2 linked regions of the Oryzias latipes genome follow. The main gene of each other region encodes a partner of the protein of the gene in region 2 in a complex. Links are inferred from orthologs where the notes say so. Each region holds a gene or a part of one and is shown on either strand. Other genes may lie near its edges.

What was found.
Region 1: cdc40 (region 2) and rbm22 share a complex: the UniProt entries of both Homo sapiens proteins name them as parts of the postcatalytic spliceosome P complex. The link is inferred for Oryzias latipes from reciprocal best matches to the Homo sapiens genes CDC40 and RBM22.

Annotation. Positions count from the first base shown.
Region 1 is NC_019868.2:16,380,360-16,395,705, reverse strand, and holds rbm22 (pre-mRNA-splicing factor RBM22), read right to left. Parts: upstream 7,558-15,346; 5' UTR 7,482-7,557; coding exon 7,428-7,481; intron 6,292-7,427; coding exon 6,238-6,291; intron 6,153-6,237; coding exon 6,123-6,152; intron 6,018-6,122; coding exon 5,885-6,017; intron 5,783-5,884; coding exon 5,682-5,782; intron 5,430-5,681; coding exon 5,257-5,429; intron 5,100-5,256; coding exon 4,899-5,099; intron 4,799-4,898; coding exon 4,634-4,798; intron 4,353-4,633; coding exon 4,270-4,352; intron 3,641-4,269; coding exon 3,512-3,640; intron 3,427-3,511; coding exon 3,269-3,426; 3' UTR 2,869-3,268; downstream 1-2,868. UniProt on the Homo sapiens protein: Required for pre-mRNA splicing as component of the activated spliceosome. Involved in the first step of pre-mRNA splicing.
Region 2 is NC_019882.2:8,073,493-8,088,850, reverse strand, and holds the start of cdc40 (pre-mRNA-processing factor 17), read right to left. Parts: upstream 9,953-15,358; coding exon 9,761-9,952; intron 9,086-9,760; coding exon 8,999-9,085; intron 7,873-8,998; coding exon 7,743-7,872; intron 7,662-7,742; coding exon 7,575-7,661; intron 7,409-7,574; coding exon 7,269-7,408; intron 6,535-7,268; coding exon 6,438-6,534; intron 6,124-6,437; coding exon 5,984-6,123; intron 5,494-5,983; coding exon 5,419-5,493; intron 5,219-5,418; coding exon 5,173-5,218; intron 3,314-5,172; coding exon 3,212-3,313; intron 2,320-3,211; coding exon 2,204-2,319; intron 1,611-2,203; coding exon 1,477-1,610; intron 1-1,476. UniProt on the Homo sapiens protein: Required for pre-mRNA splicing as component of the activated spliceosome. Plays an important role in embryonic brain development; this function does not require proline isomerization.

The sequences.
Region 1 (15,346 bases), on a different chromosome or scaffold from region 2:
ACCCATCGCGTCGAAATCTATTTGACCAATGAGAACGGCGCTTCTGCACACGTGTCTGGAGCCTCTGAAGTTACAGTAAAACACAACTTGGGGGCGCTCAAACACAAAACTGCCTTTCTGAGCACACATTCCAGTGAAGAAGATAGACGCGTAAATACTTGCTCTCTTCTTCTGAGTGAAAAGCGAATTTAAGAAGCGTAAAGTTGCGCAGCGCCACCTTGTGTACAGGAGTTTTTCTGTTTTACATTAAGCGCCATCTAATGTCAGGGATGGCGAATAACGCCTGGCGAATATTCGTCCCGGTGTGTACGGGCCTTTAAGGGCCTTTAAGGCCTTTAAGGCCCGTACACACCTTGACGAATTTCGCCCGCAATATTCGCCGACGTTTAACGCCTCGTGACTAAACAAAGGGCACCAACGTGAGTGTGCACACCGACGCGAAAAAACGCCACGCGTCAAAGCGTCACTTTTTAAAAAACGCCTCGGGTTCGTTTTTTTGGTTCGACGCGCCGCGTCGAAAACTGTACGACCAATGAGAACGGCGCTTTTGCACACATGTCTGGAGCTTCTGGAGCTACAGTAAAACACAACTTGGGGGCGCTCAAACACAAAACTGCCTTTCTGAGCACATATACCAGCGAAGAAGATAGACGCCAAGTAGCGTCTACACTGCCGCGAAGAAATAATGACGGAAATTCTAAAATATCCCCGAACCAAGCACCAGTTGGAGCTACTGGTGCTTGAAATGTTCATGTTTTCTTTGTATGATTCTGACAAGCGCGTAAATACTCGCTCTCTTCTTCTGAGTGAAAAGCGACTTTAAGAAGCATAAAGTTGCGCAGCGCCACCTTGTGTACAGGAGTATTTCTGTTTTACATTAAGCGCCATCTAATGTCAGGGAATGAAATTGCATGTTCGCTCGGCTCATCGTCAGCGAAAATCGCCTGGGTGTGAACACAAAAAACGTGGCGAAAAACGCTGGCGAATAATGCCTGGCGAATAACGCCTGGCGAATATTCGTCCCGGCCCTTTAGACCGACTTGGACCAATCACTGCTAAATGATATTGTTTGGCTCTAACGTGTCCATGTTCGTATCACCAAAAATTGGCTTGACTTCATTTGGTTGGACGGGAAGTAAGTCATTTTCTATGGATGACATCACACTCACTCAGTCCAGTTCTCATGTACAGTCAATGCTTCCAGAATATTTTTGTTAATGGCCTCTGTTCTGTGTTTTTGTCAACACCACACAGACTTCCATTTATATCATGCAAAAATATTCAGGGGCCTGGTGCAAAGTTTTCTGTGCATAAAAGTATGAACAAAGCAGCAATTTTAAATATGTGTATTTTTTCTCAGATTTAAAAAGTTTCATATATATGTGGTTTCTTTTAAAATTGGGTTGCAGTTATAATATAAAACAGTCCCACAAAAACAGTCGACAGCTAAGGAAAACTGCTAATTAGTGCAATTATTACCCGTTTGTAAATTCAAGACAATTGATGCAAAATATTCATCTTATTTTAAGACAAATAAGATAAACCTACCTTATCTTAAAATAAAGACTTATTCAGTTTATTTTAAAGAGTTGCACCCAAAATGTATGTAAACAGGGAAATAACAGACATAAATTCGCCAATCCCACACTTCCTGTTTCTAAATTTGATGCAAACTCAAAGGTTGCAGTTCCTAAATTGACCACTGGTGGCTGGTTTTAAAAGAGAGTTTTTTTTTGTTTTTTTTTATTCTTATTTCCAAAACTTTAATGTTTTATTTTCTTTTCTTGACAACAGAAGGAGAGGCTTCTATATTCAATACCAATAACAGATCAACAATGCTCTGAAAGTGGGCAATTGTCCAGGACAAAGCATTTTTTTGTTATGTCCACTTGTGGATCCACCAAGCTGTCGATCAAAAAACTGCCCTTAAATTTCGCTCTTTAAATTAAAAATGTGTATTGGAATATAATCAGCTCTCTCACATGTTATCCTAAAACAGAAATGTGTTTTTGGTATAGCCCTAAACATTTTAATGTAAAGGTCAACTGGAAATGGTGCTGCCCCTAGTGGTTATTTGGGAAACTACAAAATGCCGATTTTCTGGGTTTTTCGTTGAATTTAGGAACATAAAGCGGGGGTTGGAGGAAAACAGAAGCCCCATATTAGATCTGTTGGATGTGGACCAGCATCCATATGTTTATATGAAAAACCATAAGGATTGCTAGTTTAATGAGTCAGCTCTTATTTAAGATTGAATATTATAAACACTTTTTTCTTAAAGTCACATAACCAATGGCTTTCCAAACACGACTACTGCACACAGCATTACTTCTGGAATTTGCAATAAAACTGCCTTTGTAAACTTATTTACCTTATAAACCTACATGGTTTATCCAAATGAAATCATGAGCCGGTCTATAAGTACTTGAAAACTCTCAAAATCTTATGAAAGATAACACCCACAACAAAGATATCCAGACTATGGCTGAATTTCTAGATTAAGAAAAATATCCACATTGAAACTACCATACAAAGATTGAAGTTGTTTTCTTTTAATCCACTTGTGCTTGAACTGCTGAAGTTGAAGAGCAAACGTTTTCCTGGGGTAATCTTCCTTAAGGAGTACCAGTTGTAAGCAGGGGAAGATGGAGTTTCTTTTTGTGGATAAATACTTCCAATAGAATATTCCTAGTATTTCCTAAAGTACATTTTACATGCAATACTAATATGCAGTCTCTTTGTCTATTAATTTACACTCTAGTTTAATATATTTTCATTTACCAGACTTCCAAATCCACCAAATGGTGCAAACAGATGAAAGCTGAGTCAATTTGATGATGAGCTCAGGAAAAAAAACCCAAGTCATTATGCAGTGGAATATTGCATCAAATTTATTTTAAAAAAAAGAAATCAGAAAAGAGACAGATTTAGAATTAATCCTCCATATCGAGCTCTATGTGACACTATGCAAAATAAGACAAGAACAGGTCCACCCCTAAGAACTTTACAACAGTAATCATGGCCAGCACTCATGTTGGAAGTCTTTTGTGTTCATTTAGAACTGCAAGAAGCTACACAGTGATGGAGTACTATTCCACTTTTTTCCTCTTGAGACATACTGAGGTAATGAATTCATTGGATGTCATGTGGGGCTGTGTACAGAAGGAAGGACTGATCCATGTGAAGTCTTCAGGTTTGGGGCTGTCACATGAAAACACTTGACCAGGTTCATGGTGAGGAAACCGAGACAAACGTTTACTGCAGGACTTCACTCGGTGATGTGACGGGAGCCGTGAGCGCCGTGAGCACCCATGCGCTGAGGATCCTGGGAGGGGTAGTGGATTGCACCCGGAGGTCTCATCGTTATAGCAGGGGGCACAGGTGGAGCCATGGGACCCATAGGGTGGTACATTGGAGGACCAAAAGCTGCGTGGGCAAAAGAAGGTTTTTAGTATCCATTTCCATTTTTCTTTCTGCATCACTTAGAAGTAAGTCTAAGCCATGTTTTTACCTGGAGGAGGTGGGTTGATACCTGGAGGTGGAGGCAAACCTATGTTCATGACAGCAGGAGCGGAGCTGGGATCCAGGTTAAAATAGTTGGCATGACCCTCTTCATCTAAAGCTGGAGGTGGAGGCAGCGCTGGCAAAGAGAAGAATTAAAGGCGGTAAAAAGATGTTCTTGCTGCATCTTAATCCAGATTCTGAATTCTTGTGGCTGAGACTCGGAGCAGGAAGCCTTTTGCCCGCCCAGCGGATTTTCTACCCCGCAGATACATATTTTTACCCCAACAGCATTTTTTCATCTGCTACTGATCATCAACGAATTTGAATACAAACAATACTCAGAAATGCAGTTTTGAGTTTAATTTTCTTCAAATATGTCCTCCATCATCCAAATAATGAACATGATAAATGTTAAAAACACCATTTTCATCAAAGTGTGTCGAAGAAGGAACACGCTTAGAAAACTGCTGTTTGATGAAAACAAAAAATAACCAAATGTGCTTTATTTTAAAAAACAGTGTAGTAAAATGTAAGATGACCGTTTAGTTTCTCATAAAAACCCTCAGATCCCAAACTAAAATGTAACGTGTGGATCTCAGCATCTTACAAATCCAAATAAGTGGCTCTTAGAGACATCGTTTTTTTAGCAAGTGGTTATGTTTATGGGAAAATGATTTGACCTCCTAAAGGGGCGCCAACACCCCTGACTTGAACTGCATGTGCGCACACATAAAATACTGACCCCCCCTGTGAGAGAAGACTTACCTCCAGGAAGTCCAGGTACAGGATCCAGTCTGATGCCAAGCTCATCATCTTTGACACCATCTTTTCCTCTCGCTGCTTGAGACCTAAAAGACAAACAGGTTTGAATTTTGATTGACTTGAAAGACAAAAAAAAAGGTGACAGAATATCTCCCAGATGGGAAGAACCTGTGTGCTACAATTAAGCTCCTGCTGTGTTTCTAATAACCACTTTTTAAACGCCACACTCAGCCGTTTCCCAACACTTGTAACATCGATGGTGGCTTCACCTCAAGGCAGTTTGAAAGGCTCTTGCTCTTTTAAGAACATCTGGCGTTTAACAAGCAAATGACAGCACGGCCTCCTCAGTAACCAAGAGTCATCGTACCTCCCCCACTTGACAGTGAGCCTCCGTCCGTTAAGGATGAGTTTGTTGAAGGACTTTTCTGCGGCCATTTCAGCTGCCTGGCGCGTGGCAAACTGGATGAAGGCGCACTGCTGCCTTTGGACTACAGTGATGGTTCGGATTTCACCAAACTGGTAGAAGTGACCCCTGCAAGAGTACACATAGAAATTCAAGCACAGTATAAAGGCATCAAAATTGTCACTTCTTGTTGTGACAAAGACAGAAAAAAAAAAAAAAAAAACCTTACTTGAGATCTCCATCCGTGACATTGTCTCCCAAACCGCCTATGTAGAGAGTGGTGATGGACTTATCCTCTGGTGGGTCTAGTCGGGGCATGGTTGAGGCTCGCTTTAGCAGCTTGTCAGCGACCGGGTCATTGATGCCATAGTAACGGTCCTTGATGTTTTGGTCAGCCAGAGGATCATCGGGATCGGTGGGCTTTTCGTGCCTGAAATGCAGCAAACACAGGAATAAAACCCAAAGACACACAACATGCTGGTATATATTTTTTATCTTTTAAACCAAATAAAACTATGGATTACAGTTTCAGATCTACCAAACAGCAGCACCTTTGTCTTTTGGTTACAGATGCTATTAGTCCTCACCTGTAGGGACATTCTTCGCCTCTCTTACACTCTCCCTTCACCCAAAAGGAGCAGATGTGCGGCCGGTTCCTCTTGTAATATGGCGTGGTCCTGGCCAGCTTGAGCAACATATCACTTGAGCTCGTAGCCTTGCCGAGTTGGCCTACAGGCCGTGTGCCGTCGGAATTAGCCATCTGTGAATGCGACGAGTCGTTAATGACAATAAATGTGCAGTTCTGATCAAAATGCTCCAAGCTGTTCTCGGTGCAGTGATATTTACAGACTCCTGAGAGCTGCAAAGGAACTGGGAAACCTTTGGAAGTTGTGTTGCATTTTTCAATATGAAAACAATTTGGAAGTAAAGGAAATGACTGCAACCTAAAATAATATACGTCATAACAAGCAATGCTACTGAAGAGAAAAGTCATTACATAAAGGAAATCTACCTCTCTTTCCATATTCTGTGTGTAATACTCTTTATTCACGTCCGAGCGAGGAATCTCATCTTTAACTGTGAGGCCTGTGTCACGGACCTGGATAGGCAGACCTGTCAATCAAAACACATCAAGAGAAAGTGTTACACTGACAAATAAGACCTGCACAAGGGGTACACAAATCCAAATTTAAGTAGAAAGATCCCGAGACTCACCATACTCTAGATCAAGCAGACATGTCTGACAAACATTTTTCATTTTACTGCAAGTCTGGCAGACTTCTGTCTTCTTGAAACGCATTCGAGTCCCCGGGCACCATCTGAATACAGTGAAGGGTCGAGAACAGATCTAATGGAAAGAAGAAAAACTTTAAATCCAGTTTAAAGATAAAATATTTCAAGTTTAAGCTGTGTATTCTTCTGAAGGCTAAGGAAAATTAACAGAAAGCCATACCTTGCATTCTTTTCCATATTTTTCTTTGGTCTGTATATAAAAAAAAAACAACTAATATGATTAATGTGAATTCATAAACAAGACCTACAAATAATTCAGCTGGAAACTTACTCACCATACGGATGTAAGGATTCTCCCCCAAGCATGTCTGACACAAAATCGGAAAATCCTGAAACAGACAAGAAAACGTGGATTCAACAATTCTCAGCTAATCATTTACTAGTATTCAAGCTGAAGGGATACCGTTACATTTCAGCCTCTGCTTGACAAATGTACATGTGAGGGTAGTAAAGCTTTCAGCATCACCCACTTTTCCATCTGGTTAAGGATGCTGTTTCCATCCTTCTGACCGCATCAGCCAAAAACCCCAAACATGGGCAGATCATTGGGCTCAAACATCACTTACATATTCGGGTTACAAAGTTTTTAGACTGTAGCTTCAACTAAAACTAATCAAATGTCTGGTTGTGTTATGCTTTAAGGGAAGACACAAACACTTTTTATCTTTTATAGTCGTGTTAAGATTTAAAGGTACAATTGTACATTTGCTTGATTTACATTAGGACCACAGTGGGAACTTAAATTAAGTTGCCCAGTTTACATCGGATTGGTTAAGTGTCGCATTAACTGCGTTAAAAATGCCAGTCAGGTATGAATCAATTACTTAGACATCTTTTAGCTCATATTTTATTCTCAAACAAGAGAAGAAGTACTGTTACGGAATCAAACAGGAAACCTGTAACAGCAATTGCGAAAAAAAATACATGAATTCTTAATATTCGTGATGACGAGGTTGCAACATCATGGTTTGAGATCAACAAACAGGTCTATTGTTTAAAACTCTGATTATTCTACATACTTTATTCTTTAAACTTTTCTAAAATAATTGTTTTTGACTGACATTATGCTGAGTCGGTCTTACAAATATGACATTTCAACCAACATGACTTCAGCATCGTAAGGCAGCTAAAGCTAACGTAAATTAGCATACATGCCGAGCCTCGTTTAGGTTGATAAATCTGTTTGGACTTTTGGAAATGGATGATACTAGCTGCCAACGATCCACAATCTGTGTTTGCCTGACCCATTAAGGGATTTAAAGACTTACAATTACTGTAACGATACGAAGAACAGTAGCTAGCTACCATGCTTCCCGCATTAGCATTAGCCTATGCTACTTAGCGGGAAGCTACCTTGTTACACATCAAAGAGGCTTTTGGGTAATAGTATTCTTGAAATGTGATAAAATTGATGTGTGGTCTCTTTACACATTTAGACTTAAACTATAAAAGCAATTCAACATACCGCGTCTTCCCAGTTTTGTCGGTTGTAGGTGTTGGATCCAAGAGAAGTCGCCATTTTGCTGAATGAGAGGAGAACCGGGCCGACAACGACAACTCACAATGCACCGCGCTGCAGGTCCTAGACTTGCCTGTGGGTGTCGCTCTTTCACCAGAAACTGTTAGTGATCAAACCCTCAATGGAATGGATCGAGTTGGACTGGTTTGACGTGTTGACAGTAATATGGTGTGCCAGTGTTGACAATTTAAGATCTTTACTTTCAACTATCTGATGTCACCCGAAAAAACAACAGTTTTGTTTAAATAGGATAACAAGTTTTTACAAGCGTCACAAAATTTTGTTCATTCTGTTTCGAAAATATTCTTGCGCTCTTAACATTTGTGTGAGTAAAGTTTAGTAATCAGTTGTAAGTACTAATTAACTTAACCTTAACTTATCTATCTATCTATCTATCTATCTATCTATCTATCTATCTATCTATCTATCTATCTATCTATCTATCTATCTATCTATCTATCTATCTATCTATCTATCTATCTATCTATCTATCTATCTATCTATCTATCTATCTATCTATCTATCTATCTATCTATCTATCTATCTATCTATCTATCTATCTATCTATCTAAAAGTAGAAAATGTTTCAGCAAAGCATAATGAATGCTTTGTTAAAACAGTTGTTGTTATCCTAAAAAAGCTTTTATTATTTCAGGAACAATATTTAATGCTATTGCTTTTAAAGACCATGAACTTATTTCTATTCTGGAACTAAAGGTTAATAGTTTTTTTTTTTTTAGTTACTTGTTAACCTGATTACGGACTCCGGATTAGACCTAATCCATGTCCATGACCTGCTCCGTCTGAAGGAAAAAAATCTAACTTCTGTAGAGGAGCTATGCAACAAAAATGGTATGTTTTATCAGAAGTTTAAACACATGTAGTTTTCCTCATAAACACATGATTAATTTAATGTATTGCTAAATAATCTAATATATTTTTTAATTTATTTATTTTTCATTTGATCATAAATCTATGATAAATGCAAAAAGGTGATGTAAAGTGTTTTAGGTTTATGAAAAACTGTGAGTCCCAACAGTTTGCGCCGCCTGAGTTTGTGTCATTTCCAGAGACGGAAGAAGTGACAGGCTGGCTGATTGGCAGGTGTATGGGAGCTTGTGAAAGCCAATTGTCCAGTTAGAGTTTACCCGTTTACCTGGTCCAATTCAGGCCATGGTGTCTTTGTTGTGTGAAATTCCAATTAGTGAGGCGAAGGATGCTGAAGATTACGAGTGGGTTTTAAATCCTGAATGTTTATTTAACTTCACAGGTCAGATTGTGGATTCACAGAGCAGAGATTAGATGCAGGCCCACTTAACTGGTCTGCAGAGCTCTTTCAGGCCACATGTAAGTTAAAAACAACTATATTGACCCTCCGTTTTGGGATGTGCTTTTAGAGGTTCATGGACTTTTGGTTGTAAATCAGGGGCATACCATGTGCTTGTGCTTCCACAGTAAGGCGCTGAATGGAAATTTCCATCCGCTTTAACCTTTTGTTTTCTTTCTCTGCTTGGCCAGCAGAGTCCGTCAAGAACATCCCTGAAAAGATCACCACAGGAAACTCCCCCTCAGGGCATCACCTTCCATATCTTAATGAGTCATGTGACCCCGTCCTTTCTATCATGTGAAAAGACTGAGATGGCCAAACTGCTTTGAAGGAAAGCTTTGTCTCAAATTTAGCTAATTAGAGATCAAAATGACCAACCTCATGAGTCACAAGGCCAGTGGATTTGTAGGTGTCTTTGCTGTTCTTTGTTGCTAATGCCTCAACTCTACAGTGGGGCTGTTTCTGAATTTGTCTGTATTAGTTTTATACTCCAAGCTTTCTTTATATTTTTGATTAAAACCCCCCGAAAAGAACTGTATATTCTGTTATAAGATCATCTGTAACCAGAGGCATATTTTGTGACGCTTCATTTGCCATAATGTATGCCTGTAAAGTAATTTCTTATCTATAAATAAATCACGATACCCCCCCCCCCCCAAAAAAAATTGTTAAAAGCAAATCAAACAGCTACTTTTCAATGACATTTTTGAAAGAAATCTGTTAAGATAATTTGAGCATCACTTCACAAGAAAATTGGTTCAAGAGTATTAGCGAACAGAAGATCAAGGTCCCTTTAATCCCAGCACCGTGGAGCAGGGATGCAGATAAGCCCAAGAAATATTGAGGACTTCAACATGCATGCATGCGCATAAGAAAAAAAAGTGTCGCTTTGGCGCCACCTGTTGACAGTTATGGGCCACTGCTGGGTGCACAACGCTGCAGAAGGAGAGGGGCTTCCTCACATTTCCAGCTTTCTCCCAGCCGAGTCGGCCGTGCCGCTTCCACATTAAGGACAACAGCGAGCCGAGACCCTTTTCTGTTCACTCTTCGAAATCCAGCGCCGCTTTCCTTCCAGCCGGCTCGAGAGCGTCCGAAATCTGCTAAAACGAGGTGAGTACGTCGACACAAAAACAAGTGTGCTGGCGCTGCTTTTCGCCTGTGTTTGGTACCGCGGAGCCCCGCCGCGCGCTCTCCCAGGCCGGGCTCGTGTTCGCTGTCTGGCTCGCGCGAGGCTGAGGCCAATGCCTGACTCCCCTCGACTGAAGATAAAACAAAAAGCCCCAGAGGCAGCGTTCATATTTAGCCTGGCTCTGACGCGAAAAATGAAAGGATGCGTTCACTGCTCGAAGTTTAGTGCCCGGCAGAAGCTAGAGCTGCAGCCGGTTTGCACCGAGATTTTCACGGCGGAGTACCGCGATCGAATCCCGTGAATGCACCAGCGGCCACCGAGCAACTTGTTTTGATAACTTTGTAGCCGCTGCGGTGCGTTTAACGCCGTGGATATGCTCGTTTCAAGTAAGTGACTCAAAACAACTCAGGGGTAACAATAAAATAATCCTTGCTTTCCCCCCCGGCGCGTCTAATTTAAAAAAAAAAAAGAAGCCAACGAGTGTGTGCAAATCCAAATGAAAGGATGATTCGTCTTTCACTTCATTCTGCAAGTCCACACATGACAAGAGGCGGACAAAAGACTAGAAGTGGAATGCAATGGCTCCCAACACAATCTTTTATAAACGATTGAGTGGGATTTGGCTCTCAGCTGTGGTAACAGGCTCCGTGTTGTGATACGACGCGTCGGATTATTATGACCTGCAGTAATCCCTTACTGGCTTATTATTTACGAAGGTTTTAACAGTCAGGCGTATTTTTTTTCTGAACCGCCTCAAACACGGGCAGCCCTCCTGGGTGGGAGAGCATCCCACGACGCGGGATTCTCCAAACTTCTTTTGAGGGAAAAGTAGGACGATGGGATTCGGCGGTTTTAATTGGCTGTTTGTTGCGAGATTGGAGCAGTGTCTTCCTGTACGCGCGAGGCCAGTTTTGCTGCTCCTTTGTTGGTAGAGCAAAGGTCTGTCTCTACTAAGAGCTGCAGATGTTCAGTAATATAAACAGTGGAAGGTTTGTGTAGGGGGGACAGTCCAGACCTGCCTGATATGGTTTACCTTGGGGTGCTCCTAGCTGAATAAGAGATTACAGAGAACATTGACTCATGCTGGAAATGGATTTGGCAAAGTCACAAGGACTTTTGCAGAGCACATTCCTTCAGCTGCATGCCGGCTTCATGAGGTTTATCTGACCGGTGCTTCATAGTATTGTTACCCATAAGCCTCTAGTTGCCACATGTTCCAGCTTGCATTTTGCTGATTGAAAAATATAGGGCTTATTCCATTTGAAGATTACATATTAAGAGGAGGAGGGGAAGAGCAAAAAAAAAAAAAAGCATGATGGTTGCTGTTGCATGCTTATTAAATTTGCTGAATCTTAAGTTGTGTTCTGTTTATCCACGCCAACTGTTTGTCTGGTTGTTCTAAACCTCCATCTGGCCAAACGCGCTGTGATCGGGCGGCTTTCAGCTGCCAGCGTGTCGCTGCGTCCATTTGATCATGCACTAGCATCTCCTCGCTTCAGACACATCTGGGGATGCAATACCTGCGCGCCAAGGCCGATAAAAGCACAGGAACTCTGACAAATCGTGTCACCAAGCAGCCCTTTTTTCAGGATGAGGGACGATCGGACTGGTTGCCGGAACTCATTGTTTGCCTAGTGGAGCCCTGAGTGCCTTATTGTTATCTCCACCTAGAGGAGGATGTCAACATAATGGTGTGGAGTAACTCTACCATCACGTTTAAAGCCACACAGAGTAATTGTTGGGAGCTACAGGGCTCACAACATGCCAGCTCTTGTAGTTTTCCATGTCACTGCCCCTTGTAGGCACTCTCAGTGTGTGGGGAGCAGACCTCTCTTTAGAGTGGAGCTAAAGCCAGGCATCTTTCCAAAACTTGAGCACCCCCAACTTTTTTCTGTCCTTTTTTTTTTTTTAGTGGATATAAGCCTTGCTTTGTGCCCCAGTGCTGCTTCATTTTCATAAAGTAATGACTTACTTCACTAAATACTACAATCTCCCATTGGAATTGGACTTCCTGTAGATGCGCACAATCGGATGTTTCCTCACTGCCTTGGGATTTTGAGTTTATTACGCCAACTCTACGTAGAATTATGTTGCATTTTTACGCGGCGAAGGTTATGAAGGGTCAAAGGAAAAATGCATAGTAGGCAGCTCAGCAAAACCTAGTTTTAGCAAACCATATGATGCGGGCTGTAATCCTCAGGAAAAACCCAGAGAGTCGCTTCTCGAATGGTGCTGGGCTCCATTAGACAGTTGGCAGGCACCGGGGGTGTCCACATGTGTGACTGCCTGGCTAGGCTAGCTGCGCAGCTGAAGGCTACAGTATGCAGGCAGATCAGATTACTGAACGATTAGCCATGGCCTCCTATCCGCGGCTGAAGGAAATGATTTTCCACTGTCATAATTCCCTTGACTGAATTACGCAGACCAGTGACTCATAGATACTCTATACAGGTTGGAGGACTGCACGGCATAATCGTTGCTTTGTTTTGGGGAGGGGTTGCACCTTTGTTGCACAGAAGTTAATGGTATTCTTGTTAAGATTTATGTAGTGTACCTTTTTTTTTTTTTTACTAAAGCTGATTTTTTTTTTTAGTGTCCTGCCATCACCAATGGAGAATGGAAGTTTTATTTCATGGGCGGGCAAAGACGGCAGCTGTGAAACAGTGCTGAGAACTTCTCTCTGTCCTATGAAGAGATATGTGTCAGAATTTAAAGTGCCTTAAAAAAAAAGGAGGGGGGGTGGGGTGGTTAAATCCTGCTGGCCTCTGGTGGAATTTTGCTGAATGGAAACAGAGATGAGAACAGGAGAGGCTATCTGTGGCCGGACCATGTTCCTAAGGTGCACACCCACCCCCCCTGAGGCAGGAATCTGATACATTCCACAGGCTCCAGTATCCAGACAAATAATGGTAACTGGGGTGTAGCGTTTCATCAGGTGACTGGGTCATAAGTGTTGGGAAAGGAAGAGCTATGTCATAGGCCCAGAGCTGGCCGGCTCTGGTTTCTCGTAGGGTCAGTAAGTGGGCCAGGAGAGCGGGAAGTTATACGAGATATGGATTTACAGCAAGACAAGACATCTTGTTTTTTTTCTTTATTGCTTCTCCTTTTAACACAGCCATTTCCTCCTTCCACTATTTTGGTTCACGGTTTCAGTCATGAATAGTAACTGAAAGAAGTATTTGATCATTTGCTGACTTTTAAGGTATGCCTACCTAGAAACAAATGGACAGTTTCATCCTAATGGTAGGTTTGGTTAAACAGTGAGAGATGGAAAATCACTGAACAATCAAGAAATGGACTTTATGTAATGAATTTATGTACCATATTTTCCACATTATAGGGTGCACCGGATTATAAGGCGCACCAGCAGACATGTATAAGATGCACCTAACTAAAAGGTGCATTTAGTGAGACAGACTTTATTAACTGCGTTCATTATAATTCTAGAACTTGTTTGGTACACGCTACATGATAGCCACGTTAACGTATTTACAATACCTGTAAACCCAACCTCTGATACCACTAGAACAAACATTAGTGTGACTACCGGTACACAAACTCCCAACCTTGTTAGTAGTATCATGGAAAAAACACCGCTGCATGTTAGCCACGTTACCGTTTTTACAATAAAACGCCACCTTGTTTGCAAATTAAAAAAAAACAAAAAAAAACGGACATTTTGATAGACCGCCGTGTACCTCTCAAAACAGCTTAGACATCAGTAAACACAACCAGAATGAATCCATATGTAAAGTTGCTCTTAGAAAAAAAATAGTCTTTTAAGTGCCCTGCATAGTGCAGAAAATATGGTAAATGTATTTGCCTTTTTATTGAGGGAAATGTTGTGTTTGAGTTTGATGCCCAGTCCTACCCATTCACTTGGGTTGGGTAAATGTACAGAATCAGCATAGATCAAGGACTATTTCCTCCACTGGTGACATTCTTAACCCTTGTGCTATCTTAGATGACCCCACCCTTACATTGACGTGTTCTCCCTACCATGACAAAGGTGGATAAAGGTGGAAAGATTTCATGTAATCCATGGACACCAGTGAAGATCATAAATCATTGAAGAAAAAAGGTTCAGTGCACTTTTTAGTGGGTCTAGATGACCCAACTCCCAGCGTTAAAGTGCCTAGGATAGCACAAGGGTTAAAGTTTTTTTTTTCTCCCACTTCCACACCAGTTCTGATTGAAGCTTGTCAGTAAAAAATAAAAATCACAGTCACATGATGATAAGACCTTGACCCCTGTGTAATTTTTCAACTTCCACCTCCCTTCGGATCGGTTCTTGTACGATTTTCTACTCTCGGTTCAGTTTTCAGAACTGCGTGCACTTTAGCCCTTCAGCTAAAGGCTATTTTTACTGCAAGACACAGAAAAATGCCCTGTTTTATTTAGTGGTCAAAAAACAAGCTGTCGGGTGTTAATGGACTTCACCTCAGCCATTTCGATGGACCCTCAGGGTACGGCGCGCTCATGCACTCGGCGAGCCAGCTCTCTGCACTGGCCTGTTAATGAAGCCATTTTCAGAGATGGAGAGATGCAGTAATGGGAACGCACCACTTCACTGCAGGATATTCTAACCCCGTCTTCATCATAAGTGCTATCAGTCATCGGATACGATTACACCCCCCCACACTTTTCCTATTTAGGGGTTTCATTTATTTTTTTGTTTTTAAGGCTGAGAAGAATCTTTGTTTTTTGGTTAACAAAGCACAAGTTGATCTATTTTATCATTTAGTTTGCTTCTCTCAGTTCCTACACGGTGGACTTTAAGCTCATATTGCTGGACTCAGAGTTCAGGGATGTGAACTTCTAAAGAGGAAAACAGGTGGTGGAGGGGCGGGGCGGGGCCATGTTTGTACTGTTGCCTGATGCCTTCTTTTAAATGTTTGAATGCATCGCAGATACCACACACACACACACACACACACACACACCCTCAGCCAGTGTCAAAGCATGCACACCCTTGCCCGTGAATGCCTCGACCTGAATGCAGCGTTGTTGCAAACGGCTTCCAGCTGATGCGAATGGAAAAAGCCGAGCCCTTTGTGAGAAATGCATTATGGGAAGATGACAAAAGTCTTTTTACATGCAGTCAAAGTCAACCCGAGAATCACTGAAGTGTTCCTTTTATTTTTAAAGACATGTTGTTATATCCTCATTTTTGAATAAATGTGGATTTTTATGCATTTTTCAGTTTAGCTTTATTTTGAAGTTGTTAGTGTTCTCGTGTCATTTTAATCCAGATGTGTCTGGTTGCTGGCTTTCAGAGGAGCTCTGTCTTTTTTCTGCTAGATGGTCTTGTTTCCGTTTCATACTTTATGCTTAATATTCCACTAAATAGGAGACGTGGTCCTCCATCGCCTTAACCTTTCAGTAAGCTACTTCCACAAATGCTGACCA
Region 2 (15,358 bases):
TGCTGCACATTAAGGAGTCTTTTGTCGAGACCTTTTATGTGTGAAAATGACATTCTGAGCCAGAAAACAAAAGACCCAAAGATTTGCTAAACAGGATTCTTTAAAACAACCTGTTTTTTTTTAATTATCTTCTATTTGTTTTAGTACAACTTTGTCAATCTGCAGTCTGCACATTGGAGCAGTAATGCACACAACAGGAAAGTTGTTTCATAAGGAAAAAGACATTCCAGAATGTTCTTTGTTGTAGTGTATTTTTTTCCCCTCGTTCAGACTAAAAGTTTGTGGGAAACTTTTAGGAATTAAAATCCTTCACAGATCCCCTAGAGAAGAAACAAGAGCTGGGAAAAAGATTGCAGAAAAAGCATGAAAAAACACACACCTCCTGTTCCAGAAATCTGTGGGACACTTCGTTCATGCGGCAATCTTTAAATATTTGTCCATCCTAATAAACAGCTGCGCTTGTTTAGCTCCACACAACACCCCAGAGAGTCTAGAGGCCAGCTTGGTCTGTCTAGGTTTGAACAACACAACAACTGAAAAAGGCTGCAAACGGCACGTTTACACAAATCAAATATAATCCTGTTCATGAAATTCTGCATATTTGTTAAGAGCACTTTAGTTTAGGTTAAGCACCTTTTTCTAAGCCTAAATCTCCTTAATCGGGAACTAACTTTTCCCCAAATGTTAGTTTTTCCAGCAGTTCCATGGTTTACGTTTGTGCTCGACTTTATTCTGACATCAATAATACATGTGGAAAACAAAAATGTCATCACTGGAGTGAAAACGATCCAAAAAGGGAACAGAAGCCTGAGCCTATTACTTTATACTTGTCTTCTACTAAAGGGAATGTTATTTTCAAAACCATAATGCAAAAAATAACATTAATAAGAAAAACTTGTGACAGTTCTTCTAAATTCTTTTTTACTTTTAATGACTCAACTTAAAGGTTTTCCATAACTTTACCTCAACAAATAAGATCCAGAGATGCTTTATGAGGATTATCAGTGGTTTTTTTTTAAATCACAGTAAGATTGTTTGTAATATCTCTCATTTAAAACAAGCCTAGAATCTTCACTGGTACCTAATTATTCTTCATTTTTCTACAATAATTCTGTTCTTTTAAGCTTAGCTGAGTAATCAGTATGTGCATCTGTGACCTGATAAAAACATGTTTGTTTTTTTACCCCTTATAAGAAACTTAGTTTATTATTCTTGTTTTTCTTTTTTGAAGAAAAAAAGTTTTGTATGCTCTTTCCACACTTTCTTACTGCACATTATAAAGAAAACTAAAAACACCTAAACATTAGATGGATCGTTGATTTAAAAATTCTGGTTAAAAGTGCAACTAATGAGGAAAGCCCTAATATTAGCTGAAACTAACACTTGATTTAATGTATTCTTTTTCTTATCTAAAATTCCTTGACGAAATGGTCACAATGACGAGGTGTTGCATTATGGGATGTAAACTGTACTCACCACTCCCAAACTCGAAGGCTCTTGTCGTCTGATGTGCTGACAAAACGCCGGTTCTCGTCCACAAAGGTGATGGTGTTGACAGCGCCCAGGTGGCGGTCGTACTCCTGAACCACCTCGCCTGTCCTGATGTCCCACTGTCACACACACGCAGGGGGGGGGGGGGAAACACAGTGAGGAATCATATTTCCCGCTAAAGAGTGAAAGGAAACCACCCAGAAACGACTCTGTGGACATGAAACCAGAACGGGCACATTTCTGCACTGCCTGGTTGTGCTCTTTCATTAAAAGCCCACCCTTGAGGCCAGCAGCCTTCTGTGCTCACAACCTGGAGAAGTGCTGCATGACTAACACCAGCCAGATTGGGAAATCTACTGGTCATAATGAAAACAATGGGGCTGAGATCATCTTCATTTCTATTTTTGATTTCAATCAAATCTCGGTGTCACAGTACAAGTCTGTACACTTCAAATTCTATAAATTGTTTATCCGATAAGAAAATAGAAAACCTTTATTGTTCTAATTTTCTTCAGAATGTTTTTTATCCTTTTGCAGATTTTTTCCATCTTGTTGCCTTTGATTTATGAGTTGCTCTATTCCTGTCATCCACTCACACACAACTTGCTAAAAAAAGTGAGACAAGTGCATTTCACGGTCCTGTGGGCACTGCCTGTGTACAGTTTCATGCATCTGCTGGGTCAGCACAGCTTCATTCTTCCCGTTTCTTCACCTGAACAATCTTCTTATCCGACATGCCGGCCACAAAGAGGTTCTGTTTGTCTTCATCTGGGTTGAACTTGACACAATATGGCACCTTCCTGTTGGTGAAGCGGGAGATGCACTGGCCTGTGGAGTAAAGCTAATTAAAACTCAAGAGCTAGGGAATAATCCGAAATATTTTTTCCAGAAAAAAAAAAGGATTCTGCAGCTTCTGCTGGATCCCTTTATGTGAAGAAAACCAAGCTGTAAAACTGAAAACCCCTGAGAGTTTTTGTTCATTCCACAAAAGGTGAATGATTGTGACAAATGCTAGAAATATTGGCAAACAGGAAACGAAAAATGACCGAAAACCCTGCAGGGATTCATGATTGTAATAAGAGCTCTGCTACCACCATCATTTTAGTACAGTTGGAAGAAATGTGTGATAAATTATTAAAGCTGCGATAAGAAAATACGGAAGAAAAAAAACGAAAAGTACAAAAGTGAGCCATAAACTTGGATTACAGTGGGGGATTTAACTCTCTTCTGCCCTCTGCTGGAGGAGCAAACTTTTACCCACCTTGATGGTAAAAAACATAAATATGTAAATAAGAAAAACTGATTACAAATGTCATCCTAAGCCATGTATAACACCCTTGAGTAACTAAGAAAAAATATTAGTGACAAGGACAGAAGCTCACTTAGACAACTGTTGTCATGGAAACTCTCCCGCTGTTATTTTCTTTTTTAAATCAACCTAAAGATTATTCTAGACGTGTGCTTAAACAGAGCCAGCAGAACGTGACTGCTCCCTGGGTGCCAAGTCTGACATGTGAAATCCCCTTTGCATCCACAATGATTGCTGCTTTGACCTTTATGCTAATAAAACATCTGCTAGGTTATGTTTCTGACGAGAAGCTCCAAAACCTAATGGAGGAGGGGGGGGGACCCCTCCATGCAGGTAAAGTTGTATTTTTTATTCAAAAACATGAATTTAGTCACTCTGGGGAAAGCACACTGATGTCAGAGACCCTCGTACCTGTCTCGGAGTCCCAGAGTTTAATGTGGCGGTCGTATGCGGCGCTGAGGAACTGAGTCCCAGTGTTGCTGAAGCAGATGTCTCGCACAGCTTTGCTGTGACCTATTACACAAAATATACACACTTCAGTGAAACAGACAAATGCCGTACAAATACTCAAAATGACGACAATTTAACAATTGTCGAACAGTCATTTTCGCATATTTTTTTTAAAGACCAGGAAAATTATGTCTTTGGTGTTCTTGTGTATTTTTTTTTTAAGATGGAGATAGTAAGCTCAAAATTGCATTTCTAAATCTTTCTTTATCCAAATCATTGTGAATCAGGAGCAGACTACAAAAATGCAATTTGAAAAAGAGCTCACAACCGCCCACAACTCTCAGGCAAATTTCTATGCAGAAAGCTATCTATGCATTTATCTATGCAGCATTCATGCAGAAACTCTGTCCTAAAACAACACAGGTTTTTGATTCTGGAGAAAAGGGGAAAAAAAAGTGGCATAATCAAAATTAAAGGGTTATGGGGAACGTTTTTAAAAACAAAACATGATCAGAGGGGGTCTTTAAGCTGAAAGTAAACCTCTACGGCTTTTCTTTTCTGACTATCACAAGGTTGCGGTGGGCTAACAGTATTCTTATCAACAATGTGCTCCAATAAGGACAAACGCTTCATGCACACATGCTCATTAAAGACCAAAGCAAACACTACAGCACCAGACAGTCTTAAAGATGTATGCACAAATGATTTTACACAATACAACTGAAACTACAGTAAATTAGGAAAGCAAGGCAACACTATTCGATGTTTCAGCGGTTAAAACATGAAAATTGGTAAAAAAATAAGCATCACTACCAAGATTAATTAGCATGAAATTGTCTTTAGGAAGAAATACATTAGTCTGATGATTGTTTTTACAGAATTAAGAGAAGAAAGGCATGCATCTCTGTTCATTCACAGAAACAGCGCATGTCTGGCTCTTCACCCCCTCCATCTCAATGTTTTCTGCCCCTCGTCCCCTCTTCTGCCCCTGGGCTGCTGAATTATGCATCTTCTTTGAAGGAGCTGACAAGGAGAGCCACAGCTACAAACAATCTTTACTCTGACAACGTGCTCTCAGTGAGACGTGTGGAAAAGTTGTCTATCTGCCAAGCAACCCTCCCGACACCATAAGAATTAAGAAATAAAATTAAAACATAAATATAACTGCAAATTTCCAACCAGAAGACATCAATGCTCCTGCAACGCTGAAAACACAGTCAGTCACTGAAGGGCTTATTCCAGTTTAGACCTCAAACATAGCCGGAGTCAACATCTTTGCTGATGATGCTTTCTTTGATGCTTATCTTACAGTTAGATAACAAAATACTTAATGATTCCAGGCGCTGTGGTCAACCATTAATACTAGTTATAATAAATAGGTACCTTTTTCATCATTTTATTTATTCACAATTGACACCTTAAAACACCAAATTACACTTTTTTATTGTGAAATTTGTGTCTTTATGGAGACAAAACTATCAACATAAATATATAAATATCTCTTATTTGTTTCCATGGCAGTCGTTTGGGCTCAGTTTAAGCTAAGAGCCAAAAACATTCATCCAACAAGGTATTTCACATCAAACTATTTTAAATGATCAATAATAATTCTTGGTATATTTTTGCAAGCAGACACCTAAAAAACAGGCTGTATAATCACAACTTTCACTCTCTAAAAATGTTTCTGGAACATCCAGAAACGAACAAAAGGAGAATGAAGATGATAAAATAATATACCCCCACTAGATTGCATCATTTCTGAATGAGAAAAGATCTCATCATAAAATGTTTCATGCTACAAACATTGCTTTATTTTGGGGATCTGGTGGAGAAAGGGGTTAATTGGACTCCAAAACATGAACAGCTTATTCAGAAAATTTAGAACAGAAAGAGACACCAAAAATAAATCCAATAACACTTACCAATAAATGTCCTGAGACACCTCCTCTCACCGTAAACCTCCCACAACTGTGGAAAAATGTGACAAATTAGACACACATTTACAACAAAAGGGGGTTTAAAGCTGGTTGTATCGAAACAATGTTCAGATTTTTATGGGAAGCTAACAAAATTGACGATTCTTGACAGAATTTAAAAGTGAATGATATGTTTTTAATAAATATCACACCAATAAAAAGCATATACTGAAGCCAAACATATTTATGTACCTTGATCTTACAGTCCATAGAGCAGGACAGCAGCAAATGACCGGAGTTGGGGAATAACCGGATCGCGCTGACACCCTGGGAGAAAAAAACAAAAACAATATTTAACATTGTTTGAATCTAAACATGATCTTATTGTCCCTAATATTATCAAAATCTTTCTATTGCTATTGAAATATTTCTAAATGCGTCAAACTATTTTAACTTTAATTTTCTTTTCTACTCTAAAAGCCTACTTATAAGCTGAACACCAACTTTTGATGTCCTCACCCAAAAGAGATATTAATTTGACATTCAGATCAGAATAGGGTGTTGCTGTTGAAGAACTTTTACAGAAAAAGTTGTTTTCCTTAATAGTTCTGTTACTTTCACTACATAAGAGGCTTTGAGGAATTTTTCTGGACATCGGCATTTATAGGAAAGACGGTTTTCTAAAACCTATTTGTATGACAAATCAGATTCTGAGGACTGTTGCTTGCTATAGAAAGTCCACCAATTTAAAAAAAGTTTAAAATATCAGAGTAAAAAAAATTTTAGCGTGAGCATCATTAACGGCCGCTCCACTCGCCTTGGTGTGTCCAGACCACACATGAATCTGTTTCTTCGGCAGGTAACACTTGTCTGGAGCATCAGGCGAACGCAGGTTGACGCCGACGTCCTGCGGAACGTGGAGGTAAGACCTGCCCTGGTAGTCGTACATGTCTTTGACTGTGAGAAGAACAAATGGGGGGAAAAGTGTTTGAAATGATCTTGAAACATGAATACTTTTCAATCCAGTATAGCATAGAGCTTTGCTTAACATTCATAGTTCAAATGAAATTTAATAATTTTAAGAAGATGTAAAAATTTCTCATAGTAGCAGATTTTTTACTGAAAAATGATAGTAGAAAAGCATTATTCCATCTTTTTGTGATACACTTGAATTAGAATTCGCTAAAGACTTTGTTACTCTAAACATTAAAATATAAAAAACGTAATTATAATCAACAAATATTATAGACTCCTATCAAAAAACCAAATACCATGAAGAATGGTCTTCTCTTCTGCCGGAGACTCTTCCTCCCTCTTTCCTCTCTTCTGCCTCTTAGCTAGGTATTCCTCCAGATCCTTCTTTTCTTCCTGCACAAGAAAATACATCATTAGAAAAATCTCAAGACACCATAACCTTCAAACAATCCAAAGACTGAACAGGCCAACAGGTGGCAGCTCATCTCAAACATGTGTTTTTGTGTAAAGAATACTTTAAAGAGGGTTGTGGCTTCATAGAGTAAGACATTAGGTAACATTGGATTCAAGGTATGTCTCTACCATACAGAAAAATTCCATAAACACTTTTTTAAATGAATTTTTTTGCGGATTCTTTTTTAAGCGCCAAAGAACTATAAATATATTCTTGCTTTGACAGTAAAATATCAGATCAGTTAAACACCATCTAACTTTTTTCGCTAAACTGTTCTTTATCGGATCCAACCTAATACTCATTTTTATTTTTTATTTTAAGGATTTTTCCCCATAAATTAATTATTTAATTTGAACAAAAGTTAAAAAAATTAAATATTTACTTAAAAGAACTTATAAACCCACTGTTAGCCTTAAAACTACAAGAAATGGCAAAAAAGGGAATTTAATGAATGAATCAATATTTTCTAATGGGTACATTTAATTTTAAAACACAGCTCTCCCAAAGTATGTGCGATGTGGCAAGTATTAATTTAAAAAAACAAACATAAAAGCTTGTAATATCTGTAGCATCTTATATCTGTTTATCAATGGCTGACTTCGCTGTTCTCAACGGTCCTTAAATTTTTGTTAAATATGAGTCACAGTGTACATTGTAATAGAGAAAACATCACCTCTGTTGGTTTGGCCACATTTTTCTCATCTTCATATTTGGCCCACGGCCCAAGGAAATGATCAATATCTGCAGCCTCTCCCCCCTTAACCTTCTTCCTTTTCTCTGTCTTCTTCTGACCGCTTTCAAAAACGGTCAGTCCTGGAATTCCAGTGAACACAAAGAAGCAAATCAATGACATCTTCCAATATTTTTATGACAGACATTAAGCCATGAGCTCGTCTGTCTCCTCTACCTGTAAACAGGTGGTCAGGGCTCACAGGATTATGGTTTAATGATGCAATGAGAAATAACTTTCAACAAATACCTTTATTTTTCTCAGCCTCATCCACCGCTCCGATGTAGCTAGTGGTGGTTATTTGCTGAGCGTCAACAGAAGGGTCTAAAGCATAACCTATCAACAGATAAAATATGGGTTTGTGGTCTTCAAAGTGTGAACTTTGAAAGAATTCATCCACCCTAAAGTCAACCCTACCATAAGTAGAGAACGTCCTTCTTTGTTGTTCAAACATAAAGTCGTTGACGTGAGCTGGTTCTGCATATCCAGATAACATGTTCCTGGGGGCGGACATCTGCTGCGTCTGAAAAGGGTTCTTTGGTCCAAACTAGGAACAAACAAGACTAATTAACACAGTTGTGTTTGACCCACAGTCCTTTGTTAATTCATGTGTCACTCTGTATTCACGTAAAAGTTTTTCCGCTTTGAAAATTCATCTGTAGATGGTTGGAAATAAAAAAACAAATCATGACATCTAACATACCCAGATTTTTTTCATCCAAAAGAAATAAAAATAGCCAATAGTTGTATGTTTTGATTACATAAACAACATACATTTTTATTAATGAAATTTTGGTTTGTGTGAAGCAGGAGAAGAGCCCATCTGTAGTTCCATAAAGTAAAACTACTATTTAATTTAGTAAATCCAGCCTTTACTATTTTGACTGGAATGTATTTATTTATTTAACAAGTATTTACCATCATTTTTGTCAGAAATACTGCATAATCCTGTTGTTATTAACTTTTAACTATAAACCTTTAAGATAAAAAAAAAAACGTCTTAGTCAAACACTCTCACAACTTTAAAATGTCTTTTCATCTTTATCGATTCTGACAAATTTGTTTCTATTTTTAATCTGTTAGAAAACACATATACCTAGAGGAATATGAAAAACAAAAGAAAATTCAACTGGGATAGAAAATTGTGAATTTATCTTTTCCCCAAAAGTAACATAACCACATATTTTTCAATAATAATCTAGTGTTGAATATGTAATTATGTGGAAATTAATTCTTTTTCCAGGATTTTTCAAATAAGTGAGGGAAGTAGTGTCGAAAAAGAAGCCTTTAAATCAAGGTTTTTAGAATTCAATCTCATAGAATTTAAAAATATATATATATATATAATAGGCTGCATCCATAATAAATCACCTCAGTGAAACCAGGAAGCTTGGTTTTATTGTCAAAAACTGGGCTTGATTATTATAAATATATGTTATGATAACAGTAATGACAAATGACAAAACTATCGGTAGGAAAACAATGACTGAGCATCAAATCGTAAATTGTAAAGCTGGTGATTTTTTCTGCTGCATACTGACTGAATTGAGAAGTTTTCCTTTTTTTTCTCCCCAATACAAGTCACATTTGTTAGAATTTGACTGATTAAATAAAGAAACATTCGTTGGTAACATTATTCTGAATTTGCCTTTGTGGAATGACTACAAACTTACCTCAGGAGCAAACAGAGTTTCATATGTCGGGTTATAACTGACTTCTTTCAAAGTGGGATCCAGGTGTGTACCAGTCTCAACAGACTCCTACCATCAACGCAAACAAATGATTATCAGTCATTACTAACAAAATTATCAAGGGACATGTGAAATACTTTGCCAAATATTGTCATCTTACATTACACTCCATTTTCACAAGTGTTTAAAAAAAACTATTGAGTAGTACAGATGTCAGGTCATTACATACAGTTCTGAAACATTTAAAAATATCAGTTATGTATTAGTTTGTAACTAACTTGGAGAACACTGTCAGTTAAAAATAAAGACATCTCTACATACTATTAACCTATTATTTTCAATTAAGACACTAATAGCTATATGAAAACATAGGGAGATTTCAACGTTAAAAGCAATAAAGTAAGATTAACTTCAATTTACGTACGCTTGAGACGCAAATATCAAAAACTTTAACCAATAAATTATTACTTAATAAAAAGCATTAGTAAGAGGCCAGTAAATACATCTTTAATGTATCATCATGTACACTTGTGTAATTGCTGCCTTAGCTCATATTTGTGGTCTATACTTGATTTGTGTTCATAAGTTGACTTGTATGAATTCTTATACACATTTAAAACCCTGACTATAGATTTCGCGACTTTTACCCAACATTTATCAACATGTAAAAAACTGTCGTCGAGGAGCAGTCATCAAACTTTACATTTTATGCTAACGTGAGTTAGCTTAGATGCCTTAGCTTACCTTAACAGCCACCTCCGGGGCAGAATTGAGAACTGCCAAAGACATTATGCTACCAGATTGCAACGGTTTAAGGTGAACCATTGCATCCGAGTCCATCGGGTCAGCTTGTTCTGTACTAGTATTTGATTCTGACTCGTTTTCTGAGTCAGAATCGCTACCGTACGAAGCGAGGGAAGATATGGCGGCAGACATTTTGAATGTTGTGAATTTACCGGAAATCCGAGGGCGGGACTACCGGTTACAAAATTATTCAACTTTCATTTAAAAAAATGTAAAAACTCGTTATATCAAAAATTAGGACAATTTTAAAGTTATGAGTGTTTACCAATTATAATGCGGGTACCATGCTTGTAAGACTAATATATTTTATTTATTTATCTATTTATAACATGCATAATGTGACGTAGCACATAAACATGTTTATAGACATGCTATTTTTTTAATTAAAAAATATTAAGCAATGGGTCTTACAGCTGACCAAAATGTATTTTTTCCACAACAGTGAGATCATGAAAAACTAACAAAATGTACTGTTTTCCTTTCTCATTGCAACTTTAAGCTTTTTTTCCCCAATGCACTAAACACAATTTTTAGCCATGTGTTCTGATCAATTTCATTGACTATTTTGTTCTTCTTTTTTGTGTGTGTTTTAGGAGTTTTTTTTCTCCTCAAAAGAACCATTAACTTAACAAATGACAATTGCTTTTTTTTTTAAACTAAACTTTAGGCCTTCAACAAGAAACTGAAACAGGGCATTAGTTACACTCCAGCGTTTATGACTCAAGTGTTGCTAAAGGTAACTGTAGGAAATAGCTCACAGGCGTCCGTAGTTAATCTTTCTGAGATTAAAGTCAGAATTCTGAGAAGAAAAAAAGTCAGGATTCTGAGAAAAAAGTCAAAATTCTGAGATTAAAGTCGAGATTTTCTTTGCCCTTTTTCTCTCTCTCTGTCTGTCCATGGTCCCAAGCCTCTTCTGTACAAGTTAAATAGGATCAGAATAGATCCAAGGGTTCTGGTTCTTACAGCGCCTACAAAACACTGCAGTCAGCAGCAAGCCTGCAAAAATAAAAGCACGCCATGAATCCATTGAAATGTGTAATTTGCATAATTAAGAATGACACATTTATACTTGAGCAATATTGCCTATCTGTTGTATTATAACACAGTTTGCAACTACTACTTTTTTTTGGCATGTATGAGTCTGTAACACAGAGTTATGCAACAATTTCCCTAAAAAAGTGAAGAAAATACAACATAAAGTCAGAAAACATTGGCATATGATAAGAATATATTATAATAATGTTTTCAACCAATTCTAAAGAAATGTGGATAATGTATATTCTGTGTAATCACTGCTAAGTGGAATGTAACTAAATAGTCCCCATTTGTTTTATTAAGCATATAGTTTTTAATTTATACTTTTATGAACAAAACACATTCTAAGAATTTATTTCAAATATGCACAACATTATAACTATTTTTAAAATCTATATTTTATTTTTTAGGTTTCTGTTTTTAACAACTTTTCTGGCGCACTCCCAGTTACAGACGGTTTCTCACTCCTCAACAATGGAGTGGCTCATACCATTACAAGACCGAAACGGGGGCGTTTTCTCCTCAATGAATGCCACATCACGGTCGTAACCTCGAATAAACAACAAAAACTAAAAGTTTTTAAATTAAGGTAATGTTTTGATGTTATAAAACCTGACGCTGTTTTAGATTAGCACGATTTCCCTGTAGTTGCGCCGAATTCCAGCCGGAAAATCCCTTAAAAAATGCAGCTGGATCCTTCTTCGCCGCCGCCTCTTCCAGCAGGAGAGCATTGGATATGAGAGACGGCACAACCATGGATGTAACACGGGGATTTAAATTCTTGGACACGGCGGCACGCTTTGCTTCTTGGTGAAGATGGGAAGAAAATCAGCGGGATTTTAAGGATCATTTTGAGGTAGCATCGTGGCTTTATTGTGACTTCATTTTTTTTCTTTCTTTTTTTTAACTGACAAACGGACTTAAAATGTATTTAATTCCAGCAAGTTAGAAGCAGAGTCAGTCACCATGTTGTAGAGCGTAAACCGGGGCTGTCTTCTTGGCAATAACGGTAATTCAACACTGCCTGGCCATCACTGACTCACGTCAACTCAGCACACAGGTGACTGTAATGCAGAGTGGTCAGATGTGGATTATTCTTAAAAAGTACACGCGTGATCATGCGTATTTACCAGTAAAAGGGCACTTTTTTGATGGGATAACTCCACATCTGCAAGGGCTCCTGCTGCAGAGTCTGAGGATATCATTCGAGGGGGGGGGGGGGGGGGGGGAAGCAAATATTTGCAAAGCCCCATAAATGATCCTTTATTCCCCCCATCTGTGGTGTGTTCACGGGGAAAGGGATATCAGAGTTTCAGTTTAGTACAGTGTGGTAATGACCCCCCCCCCCCCCCCCCCTCCTAGAGCGCACTGACTTGGGGGCTGGGGACTGTTCCAGTCCAGGCAGCTCGGTTTGTACACTGTCGTGGGGGGGCGGGGGATGGTAGATTGTGGTGAAAATTATGGTTTGTGAAATTTGAAACCTTGGTGCAACACCAATGGCCGAGGAACAATGTTTTTACACAGCTTTACACGACAGTTTGAAGATCTCTGCATTGTATTATGTCATATGTGGCATTTCTTATGGATCCCATTCATAGATTTTTTTTCTTAAATGTGTATTGCATGCAAATTTCGGGATGTGAGTCCTTTTTAAACACCTGTGTGATGTGCAGTATATTATTAAAGGTTGTCCGTGTTGTTTTAAATGTATGACTGATGTAGAATGAATCATCTCTTGAGGCATTGGCTGCAGAGCTCGTAATGTTCCCACACTGCTGGTCCTTGTGCTTACGCCGCTGGATTTTTGAGTGTTGGAAGCAGAGACCAGTGATGATTAGCCAATCGTCCTCCTGATATTTAAAAATTCATCTCTTTCTCTCATCTAAATCATTTAACAGCTTAGTTTAGATCACTTTTCCAATAGAATAAATCCTTAAAATGCAGCGAATTCCCCAGAATTGGATGAATAAACCTACTGCACTTGCATTTAATCAAATAATGTCAGTTTAAGTGATGCATTATTCAAGAACTACAGTGGCTACTGAATGTGAAAGTGCCTCGGACTACTACTGGATAACCTAGATCTCTTATTTCCATAGAGGAATCATGCATGTGCGCAGAACGGACTGCCGGGTTTTGAAATTGTTGCAGATGTTTGCAGTAGACGTGATTGTTCCCTCTCAGCTCTCTGTGGATTTACTCATAGATGTTGTAGTGTGGATTTGCTGCGCTGTGACATCAACTCTTTGATGCATAATCAATACAGTACACGCACAGCCTCATGCACCCAACTGCCCCATTTGCAGGTACCGTCAAGGTTTCATGAAAAATGTCTATATATCCATATTTTCTTGTTGTGTACAGCATGTGGGGTGTAGATGCAAGCAGAGTGTGGCATACAGTATTTTCGAAGTATAAGTCACAATCTATTGCTAAGTTTGGCCAGGGGTGAAACTCATACTCAGGAGCGACTAATATGCAATTTTTAAAATATAAATATAGGCTCATATATTTGTTGTTTTTCCACAAACAACCGATTGTGTGTATGATACACACACTATAGGATAACATTGAGAGATACACACACTATAGGTGTGTAACAGTATTTGCTACTGACAGCAACAGCGAAGAATAAACACAGTCCAAAACAGAAATGGAGGAGAATCTGATTGTTCTCTTCCTGACCTTTATGATATATTATTTAATGGCATGAAGACATTAGTGGAAATTTTTTTGCGGGACTGCAAGCAAGTCATCAGACTGGGTTACAGAGACATGGAAGTATTGCTGAAAGTGCCATAATTCTGGTTCCTGCGGTAGAACGTAAAGATCGGCGTAGAAAAAAACCCGAAACAGAATGATCCCATGAAGACCTGACCTCTCAATATTATCTGTGTCTTTTGTGGATTCTAAAGTTAAACTATCTGTCACACCTAGGTTCTCCGCATTTGACCCATCCTCAGGGGGAGCAATGAGCTGCAGACTCGGGAAGGTGGCTTAACCCCCCAATCCAACCCCTTAATGTGTCCCTTAATGGGTTCCATTTTTAAAGTCTTTGGTATGACTCGGCTTGGGTTTGAACCTTCCAGTTACAGGGCGGACACTCTAACCACAAGGCCACTGAACTGGTTATAACCCAGATATACTGTACAATCAATGCTTCCATGTAGCGATGAGGCTAAAAACTTGACTGTAGCGTCTCCATCACATTTGATGTATGAAATGCATTTGACCGGGCTTGTTAGATTTGTTCAAAAGTGTATAGATTTTCTCCAAAATGTACGACTTGTGTTTTTTTTAATGCTTTTTTTTTCTTGCTGCTGGGATTTATACTCTGGGACGACCTATACTCCTGAAAATACGGCATATCCACTTTTAGTTTTTGCTCCTGCATATTTGACACTGCTCATAGTTTTTAGTGTGAGAAAGTCGTTTTTTGGCGTGGCTTCTGCTGAAGCTTTCAACCTCTGCTCTTTGTTGACATGGCTTTGGTTCTTTGCCAGCCTCTCTTTTCTTTCTTGCTAACAAGAACAGTATCTCTCCCTTTTGTCTTTCCCCTTAGAGATTCAGTAGGGTGATAGTGGGAACAGAATAACAGCCCACGATGTTGGGGCACGGACGAGAGGAATAAAAGAGAGAGAAAAAATGATGAAAATGAGCAGGTGGGCGAGGGATTTCGGGAAAGTCAGGGTAGAAATTAATTTGTGTGCGCAACGAGTGGTTCCTGTTTGCCTGCCTTTTAGTGGAGCCACAAACAGATCTCCTATCTTCCAGCTGTTGTGATGCTCCCGAGGGTCCGGCACACAGGACCTATTGTTCCTTCTCTTGGCCAGACCCACTGCTCTATAATACTGCTTCTGTCCGCTGCCTGAACTGGTATGACACCAAGACACCAGGGCACAGTTTACTCTGCTGACTGGTGCTCCTTGTGTTTTACTACCATTGACTTCACCACCCAAGATTCAACAGTTGTAGCTTCTCTATTCCCCCTGGTTTGTTTTTATCCGGCTTCTTTTTATGTTTAAGTAGCTTTTCACAACTCCAAAAAGATTTGTTCTCATATTGACACGTTTCAACTCTATATATCTTAATTACAGAAGATAGTTTTGGAGATTAATTAGTAAAACAGCAATTTTTCCTGTGGCCAGCCCTTAACTGTAACAGAAAGAGCTACACTAAATACTTTTGATTCAACCACCTACCCAATATTTGGTGTATGTATTGACTGTATATGAGAACTGGACTGAGTGACCCCTCCCCCCTGGCATTCCAAACAGAAAGACTTAAAAACTTGCATAGCAGCGTGTGAACGCGAGAGTATTGAATGCAGAAGCCCAAGACAGGCAAATCCGTGCCTTCACGTAAACTCTTTGTTGTCATTTTGTTTGAGCCAGAAGCAAGTCGTGTTTTTTAACTTCTCGCTTACTCAGTCCAGTTTTTACATACAGTCAGTTTGAATAAAGTTGTATACTTTATACTAATACTAAAAATAAATACATAAAT